Linked DNA regions of Nothobranchius furzeri. Each later gene encodes a partner of the first gene's protein in a complex. Links are inferred from orthologs where the notes say so. Each region holds a gene or a part of one and is shown on either strand. Other genes may lie near its edges.

The links.
Region 2: the proteins of mapkap1 (region 1) and kras are in contact, whole or in part, in a crystal structure (PDB 7LC1), measured with the Homo sapiens proteins. The link is inferred for Nothobranchius furzeri from reciprocal best matches to the Homo sapiens genes MAPKAP1 and KRAS. Residues at the interface, in NP_001006618.1 of Homo sapiens: Phe280, His287, Gly288, Phe289, Ser290, Leu291, Ile292, Gln293, Lys307, Lys310, Arg311, Arg312, Lys313, Gly314, Ser315, Phe363, Glu365, Ile369, Val374, Met377, Leu378, Ser380, His381, Tyr484, Glu487, Ser488; in NP_001356715.1 of Homo sapiens: Ile21, His27, Val29, Glu31, Asp33, Pro34, Ile36, Glu37, Asp38, Ser39, Tyr40, Arg41, Leu56, Glu62, Glu63, Tyr64, Ser65, Ala66, Met67, Asp69, Gln70.

The regions. Positions count from the first base shown.
Region 1 is NC_091746.1:36,982,871-36,987,243, forward strand, and holds the start of mapkap1 (target of rapamycin complex 2 subunit MAPKAP1), read left to right. Parts: upstream 1-1,412; 5' UTR 1,413-1,627; intron 1,628-3,247; 5' UTR 3,248-3,411; coding exon 3,412-3,694; intron 3,695-4,373. UniProt on the Homo sapiens protein: Component of the mechanistic target of rapamycin complex 2 (mTORC2), which transduces signals from growth factors to pathways involved in proliferation, cytoskeletal organization, lipogenesis and anabolic output.
Region 2 is NC_091744.1:73,818,909-73,822,726, forward strand, and holds part of kras (GTPase KRas), read left to right. Parts: intron 1-1,675; coding exon 1,676-1,854; intron 1,855-2,104; coding exon 2,105-2,264; intron 2,265-3,818. UniProt on the Homo sapiens protein: Ras proteins bind GDP/GTP and possess intrinsic GTPase activity. Plays an important role in the regulation of cell proliferation.

The DNA.
Region 1 (4,373 bases):
CCGGAGGATGTGTTATCCAGAAGACACCTGGGCTGGCAGAGAAGACGAAGATGTGTGGCAGCCCAGTCCCGGGTTGACCTCGGTACACGTTGCTGAAGCGTTCGGCAGATGCGCTTTCTCAAGTTTAAATTAACTCAGAAATCAAAGACTCTGGGACGAGTCTGCGTAAGCTGGTTGCACTTCAGCTATTCTGTCTGGCTTGACAGAAATAGCGTGGGGGGGGGGGGGGGGGCAGGGCTCCTTTCCCCGTGGTGTTCGTTCCACACTTCTTCTCTCTTTCGTTCTCTGAGGCCTGGAGGACAGCAAGACCCCTGCACTGCTGTCTCCCAGGCTACTGATGGCACAGCCTTCTTCAGTAATTTAGGCAGGCTGGATGCCTAAAAGGCTCATTGCTGCCACATCAGCCAACACACTAAGCCAGCAAACCCCACCGCACACAACATGCACATCGACCACCCCCACCCCGTGTGTTATTAATATTAATTTTTATATATTACCAGTCCTGATTTTTTCAATATATTTACTTACAACTGTACCATGTTCAGTGCTTTGGGCTTCCTGACAGGGTTGCGGAAGGCACTTTATAAATAAAGCTTTGATTGATTGATTGAACTGCATTGGTATCGGTTCCTGGTATTGGTTAACTTTCACTGATACCGGTATCGGCCTGCTGCCGGTGCATCCTTAAGGTACATGTATATACACATAGGCATCTAGTGTTGTAACCTTCGACCACTAAAACCATGAATAAAAAATTAAAAAATTTGGGTTCCAAAACTATGCAGCATTCTGCAAGAGACACAGACATGCAATGGAAATCCAGTATTGCACGAGTATTGAACACATAATGAATATTGCAGTGTTATTGTGTAACAGGATAATGCCAGTAAAACTTAAACTAATGAGTTAAAGTTTGACTTGCAGAGAGCCTCAAAGGTAGGAGAAGCCAACTCTTAAAGTTTTTGCTTGACTTTAAAAAAGGCTTAAGTGTCAAAGCCGTGGTTGTTGTGTCAGAGTGGTTTGTGTCATCAAAAAGAGGATCTCTGAGGTTTCATTTGATGTGAGTAGTCCTGCTCGGTTTGTATTTTTTATTACAAATTTGTACTGGAAAAATAAATGAATGAATGATGAACAAATGAATAAATGAACGAATAAATACATTTATGTTTTACAAAGTATTGGTGTTACACTTGGAAATTTCGGTCTTGCCATCACATAAAATAAATCCTAGATGTTTCTTTCAGGAAATTGTGAAGACATGGCTGTGTAATACATCGGCAACCCATCGACAGAAAACAAAAATAAGTTTTAAAAAGGCACGTTGATGGTGTTAAAACAAAAAGTGCATTGAAAGTAGATATTTTATTCTGAAAATCTTTACCCGGAAGTAAAAATGGATTTACCATGGGTGAGCAGTGCACTGAGCACTACAGATTAAAACGGGCTTCCAGATAGTGTTGTGATTTTACAATATTTAAAATAGTAAAGTAGTGTTTTCTTTTGAGTTTATTTTTCATGGAGAAGAAGACTTGTGTTGTGAACACTTTTCTTTCTCATCGAGGCCTTTCATGAAGCTCCTTGTTTTGACTGCAGTGAGAGCGGCTAACTACCCTGACTCTGATTCCAGGTTAGGTCCAGTGTTCTCTCAAACACCACAGCTGATTTTCGTCTTACTCATTTGAAGTGACACGGCCTGGGTGTAAATTGCAAAGATTGCTGCTACATTTAGCTGTCGACGGAAGGCTTAGCTACTTCTGAGTTTTACGCTAATGTTGAAGGTTAGAAGAGCTGGGAGGCTAACTCTAGCTGAGCCTGAATGTTCAGCCTGGATATTTTAAACGTTTGTACAAACGTAATGAACAAGCCTTTAACGTAAAATAAAGTCATAACAAAACTATTTACGAACTGTTTTGGGTAAAGTGAAAACTCGACACTGAAAATTGTCACCTGTCGATGTTAGCAATAGCTAAAGTTGTTCCTGGAACTGACTTTCAGATGTGACCGTTGCTAACCAAGTTTGGTTTTTTTCGTTAGTGTAAGGTTAAAACAGCAGGGCCGAGCTCAAATCGTGGCGGTGGCATCCAGCCACGCAACAGCCACCATAGACATTGGCCTTGTTTGAGATGAGCAGCGCCTCGCCTGGAAAACAGATAGAAGCAGACGGACGCAGCAGCTAGAAGTTGCGTTGATATGTGTCTCCCCCCCGAGATCTGTTTCTTTGGCACTCAGCAGCGAGTTTGAATCATCCACTCGCAAAAAAATGTGTCCTAACCCTTACCCTAACCATAACCCTGAAACAAGCATAAAAATTGTGCTACACATAATATTTATAATATATATATTTATGCAAAACATACATTTTTGGTGCCAGGGTGGTTATGGTTATGGTTAGGGTAAGGGTTAGGGTGAGGGTTATTTCTTGTGTTTGGTTTGTTTCCATTTGCAGCTGGGTGCAAAAGAAGCAGAAATAGAGGGGGGAACACATATCAACGTAACAGCGGCGTAGGTTGACAGTTTTCCCAACATTAAAATTCTGGTGCCTGTTAGCAACTGAAACACGTTCTCACATAATTGTGGATATCACATTGTAGACACGTGCAAATGGAGATATGACTATAATAACAAGTAAAGTTGTCAACTGTAGATTTTTATTGTGCTTATAGGAAATGTGACAAAAGAAAACAATTGACATTTCTCTTTATGGCCTGTATAGTTGTCTTCGTCAGCATACTATGATTTGCGGAATACATATGAGTGGCTTCTGCAAATCTCGTGATTTCTGTCTGTTATGGGATGTGACTATGTTCACCCTGCTAATGGTGTTTATCTGTTCAATTTAACAACATGGTCGTTCAGTGTCAACAAAAGAAACTGATGTTTCTGACTAGATTATGAACAATATTCAGATAAGCTGAGTGTGAAACCTATTTTGTTTTTGTTGTATTCTCTGTTTATGTCCATCCATAGCAGCCCGGTGTGCCCAGTAACAAACTGTCATCTCAGTGAAACTGCAAGAATTCAGCTCAGTTTATATATTTATGAGAAATTAGAGCTTCTCATCATAACTACTACACTCTTCTTCCTGCAGCGCTGGGATTAAAGTATCTTTGAATTGATGTATCACAATGCAAACTATTCAAAACACTAATATAAACAAAATATTTTATTAATATTAATTTTTATGTATTACCAGTCCTGATTCTTAATTTTATCCTGCTTTGTGGATTAAGTTTTTCATTCTGAACAGGTAGTGGGACTTGTCTAATGGAGTTGAAGGAGAAGTAAGGAGAACAAGAGGGAAGAGATGATTCCTCTCTGCGTATCATCAGTTGCTGCTTCAACATTGCTGAATAAAAACTGAAGAGAGAGCCTCATTCAGCAGAGAGTGAAGCTGTTTGTAAAGCACTAGAAATGGCTTTCTTGGACAATCCGGCCATCATTCTAGCCCACATCAGACAGTCCCACGTGACCAGCGATGATACGGGAATGTGTGAGATGGTATTAATAGACCAGGATGTGGATCTGGAGAAGTGCCAGCTCACTCTGGTGCCTGGCAGCAGCTGTGGATCTTCTGGTTCAAACTCTCTCAGTGAAAACAGCAGTGGCATGGTGGACGGTCATACGTGCGAGCTGTCTCAGTCCATGGACATCACCTCCAGCTGGGACTTTGGCATTCGTCGGCGCTCCAACACAGGTGAGCTCGTGTCCAGGCTCTGGCGTGTTTGTAGGTGTACAGTTCCTCAGAGGTTTGGAGGGGTCTAATCTGGACTAATGTGGGTTTGGTTTGTTTTGTTTAAGGAAATCATGTTATCAAAACATGTTGCTGCTGCTACAAGAATCATGATTGTCGATGTGAATTTAATTGATTGTTTTGTGGGATGTGTGGGTGTGAGGCAGGTAGAACCGTGTTTGTGTGTGTGTTCGTGTGCCCTTTGCTTCTTTTCATTTGAGGCTCCAGAACTGAGACTTGACATATCCCCTTATAAAATGTACAACACATTAGCATTACCACTATCATCATGACGTTTCTGATTGTTCAGTATGACATCACAACCTCCCTGTGTTGGTGAAGGCAACTGGACTTACTTGCTTCTTGAAGGCGTTTTGCTTCTTACCAGAGGAGCTTTGTCAATTCTGACTGGACTATGGGAGGGTCAAGCTCATAGGCCAGTGGTACTCATTAGGCGGGCTGGGTCTGTGGTTGTAGTTATAGCCACTGTTCTATGAGCATAGCAGTTGACTTCTATGACCACAGCTACTGTGCTACGGGCAGAGCACCGCACAGCCCCGGTGAACCAGTTTGAAGTACACTAAAGACATTCATTAAACATCAAATATGAAGAAAGTTTCAAATATGAACACATTTTGTAGTC
Region 2 (3,818 bases), on another chromosome or scaffold:
AAAATAATGAGAAACTCTTTTTAAAAGCTTGTAACTGGCTTTACTGGTTTTGGGTTTTAAAAAGACACCAAACAGGTTTTTAATGACTTTTCATGCTTGGCTCCTGGCCAAGCTCCTCAGTGCCAGCCACATGCAGTGTGAACAATCTCATCATGATTTCAATCAATTATTGAAACGCTGTGGCAGGTTAGCGCTCTACCATGAATTACCCAGACACCAGATAGCATCTGAAAGTATGGCAGCTCATTGGATTCGTCTGTAATTATTCCTGTTGGATCCAATTGATGGCAGCCATCTGCGTGATGGAAAAAGGGCTTTGACAGAAACCTCTCTGTAATTTGAACTCTTCTAGAAAGCAGAGTGCCCCGCTACAACTAGAAAGGGGCGATAATGAAGCTGCGTCCCGTGGCATCTTTTATGTAAACATGTCATCAGAGACATTAACACAGTCGGGGCTGAGCAATTAAAAATGTGTATCATGTTTTTCACGAATTAAAAAAGGTCAGTGAGATCATACCCAGGCCAGGAGTAAAAATCTAGCATATAAGTGAAGCATGGCTAACACTGTAAGTCCTGTTGTTGTTTTTTAAAAACCTCCTTGGTGTATTGGCCAGAATCTGGCGATATGATATATATCACTGAAAAGGGGAGATGATAAGATGACCTTTGATGTTAAAACCAGATTATATTAGTAATGTTAAAAGATGAATTTAACAGTTTATGCCACAAATCCCAATTTTGACACTTCCTGACATTTTAGTCAGCTGAATTACTTTTGGGCTGCAGTAACGGTAGTTTTCTCTAAAGCATTTTAAAAGAGATACTTAGCAACTTTTTCATATTTTTAAATCATTTTCTTGAGCCAGTATGTGCTAAAATGACCCTTTCCAGGGTTAATGAAAGGCCTAGCGCCCCCTGTGGCCAGAATATCCCACTTGCAGCTTCACAGTTGCCGGTCTGGTCTGTTGGAAAAAATGGGCGTGCATACCTGGCGCTGCAGTCTGCGTCTGTCACATTTCCTGTATTAACACAGCTGATTTGTTTAATTTAGTGATGAATCAGCACTCTAGACACTAAGGAAGGCTGGGAGGCGTTTCAGCTGTTAGATTAAGGTGTGTTTGTTTGAAAGTGGTTAATAAAGATTATTTTTAAAGTAGTACAGTCAACGACCTTGATGCGTTGTGGTCGATGACGCAATGTTCACTTTCCCAATTCGGCAATTGCTCACTTGTTTACCACACACGCAAAACCTTACTGCGCACTTCTACCAAGTGCACTTTGCTGAAGACCGTAGGGCGCAGTGTGAGTATTGGTATTTGGACCCTAGCTTGTATCAGTTAGCAACCCAAAACAGAAGCTTAACTACTCTTCAAAGTTATGAGTGTAGGTGCTAGAACTGTATGATTTTAAGATAAAGGTTGAATTGTGATTTCTATCTGAGAAATTGAGATTTCAGTTCAGTTATAATTTTCTTCCAGTCAAGGTTCAGCACATTATTCACAGTATTGTTTAATATATAATATATCATAAAATCTAATCATTAGAAAAACATCAAAAGCAATAATATTAGGCAGTTGTTATCAATATCAACCAATATTTTCTTACATCCCTATTCGACAGACTTTTGTAGATTTTGGTAGTTTATTTATTTATTTTTTGCTCTTTACGATCCCAGGATTCCTACAGAAAGCAGGTGGTGATCGATGGAGAGACGTGTCTGCTGGATATTCTGGACACGGCAGGTCAAGAGGAGTACAGCGCCATGAGAGATCAGTACATGAGGACAGGGGAGGGCTTCCTCTGTGTCTTTGCCATCAACAACTCAAAGTCTTTTGAGGACATTCACCACTATAGGTGAGTTAGGAGGAGGAACTAAAATAGTCATTGAGAGCAAACATCAACACAAGATGTAAGGAAAACCATGAAAATGTATTTTGAATCCTACTTGAATAAAAGTTTTTTGGAGTTTTTGGAACATAATCTTAAATGAAAACTATCATGTTTCATTAGAACTTTGTTAGCATAGAAACTCTGGTGATCAGTTAGATCATTCAGACTAACAAACCGTTTTATGTTGATTTAAAATCTGTTTTTGAACATTCAGAGAACAAATTAAGCGGGTGAAGGACTCTGAGGACGTCCCCATGGTGTTGGTGGGGAACAAGTGTGACCTCCCATCCCGAACGGTGGACACAAAGCAGGCTCAGGACTTAGCACGCAGCTACAACATTCCCTTTATTGAGACCTCAGCCAAAACGAGACAGGTGAGTGCCCACACAGAGCCTCCTCACTTGTCCACTGCAGGCCAAATTCATCTTTATCCTTTTAATTGATCATGTCGGAGAACGTCAGACCCCTGCTATGTTGACAGATGTCTTTGGGAGGGTTTCTTCAATTTGGCAAGAAATGTGATTGCATCACGTGGTGCTGTTGATTTGTGTCACTTTTACTATCTCTAATGGTCTTTTTATAATAACGTTGCTGGGAAATTTACCACCTAATGTGCTGAGCATCATTAAATCCTCTTTGGTTAATTGAATTTTTTATTTATGGGGGATAATGTGATCATTGCATGCTACTTTGTCATGGATATGTGAAATTAAATCATTAGGCCCACCTGCAAAGGAACCGGCGCGATAAATAATCAGCAAATCAGTTAATTTGTGTCAAGGTGTCTGCATGAAAGGACAAACTGTCGGTAATTACTTAGCGGGTTAATGATTCTGCTTACTGGTCACTGTGACTGGGGGTTGGAAGGATAGCTGTGGTGTCTCATCCAGTGCTGTGTGTGTGTGTGTGTGTGTGTGTGTGTGTGTGTGTGTGTGTGTGTGTGTGTGTGTGTGTGTGTGTGTGTGTGTGTGTGTGTGTGTGTGTGTGGTGTGTGTGGTGTGTGTGTGTGTGTGTGTGTGTGTGTGTGTGGTGTGTGTGTGGTGTGTGTGTGTGTGTGTGTGTGTGGTGTGAGCATGGCCTTAGGAAGCTAACTGGCTGATGGAGTGATCGCTAAACACATAAATTCCTGGTCCCTGACCCGGGGTGAATCACGGTGCCTTCTGGTGTGGGGGAAATTAATGCCATGGTGACTAATTTCTTGCAGCTTTGTTCACCTATCCCAGGGGTCGGCAACCTGTTCCCATCAAAGAGCCATTATTACCCGTTTCCCACAGTAAAGAAAACACTGGGAGCCACAGCAGCCGCGGCGTTGTGGGCGGGGCCTACCCTCAGACAGCAGAGAGCTGCTTTAACCAATCACAACAGGTGACAGCAGCCAGTACCGGCCGCTCGTGTACGTCAAAGTTATCTTTCATAAGACGATAATCAATAAAACGATTTATATAAAATGGATCCAGAAGTTGTAGCCCGTCTCTGCCTACAATATTTAGATATTTTTCACCCTGTTGGTGGTTTTACTGAGCAGGTGCCACTTTTGTCATACGTTTCTTTTTAAAACATGTTTAGACTGTTCAGAATACAAATCCAGGCTCTGTCACGTTCGATTGTTGTAATTAAACTTTGTAGGTGGGGAAGGTCAGGAAAGGATCCGATCATTTTGTTTTTCCCTCATTTACAGTGACGGAAATAACGGTGCAGTGCGCCGGTGCAGTGCGCCTGGCTCTTGTGATAATCAAGTTAAATTACCGTAAATTCTCTAATACAGGCCCGGGCCTGTATTTGACTCAAGCTCATCAAGCTCCAGGCCTTTATTGGAAGGAGGGCCAGAATTAGAGGCAGGCCTCTTTTTCTATTTGAGCAAAATGAACTAATGGTTCGCTGGAGTTTTTGACAATTAAAATTGCGCTCACAAAGTTAAACACATTTCT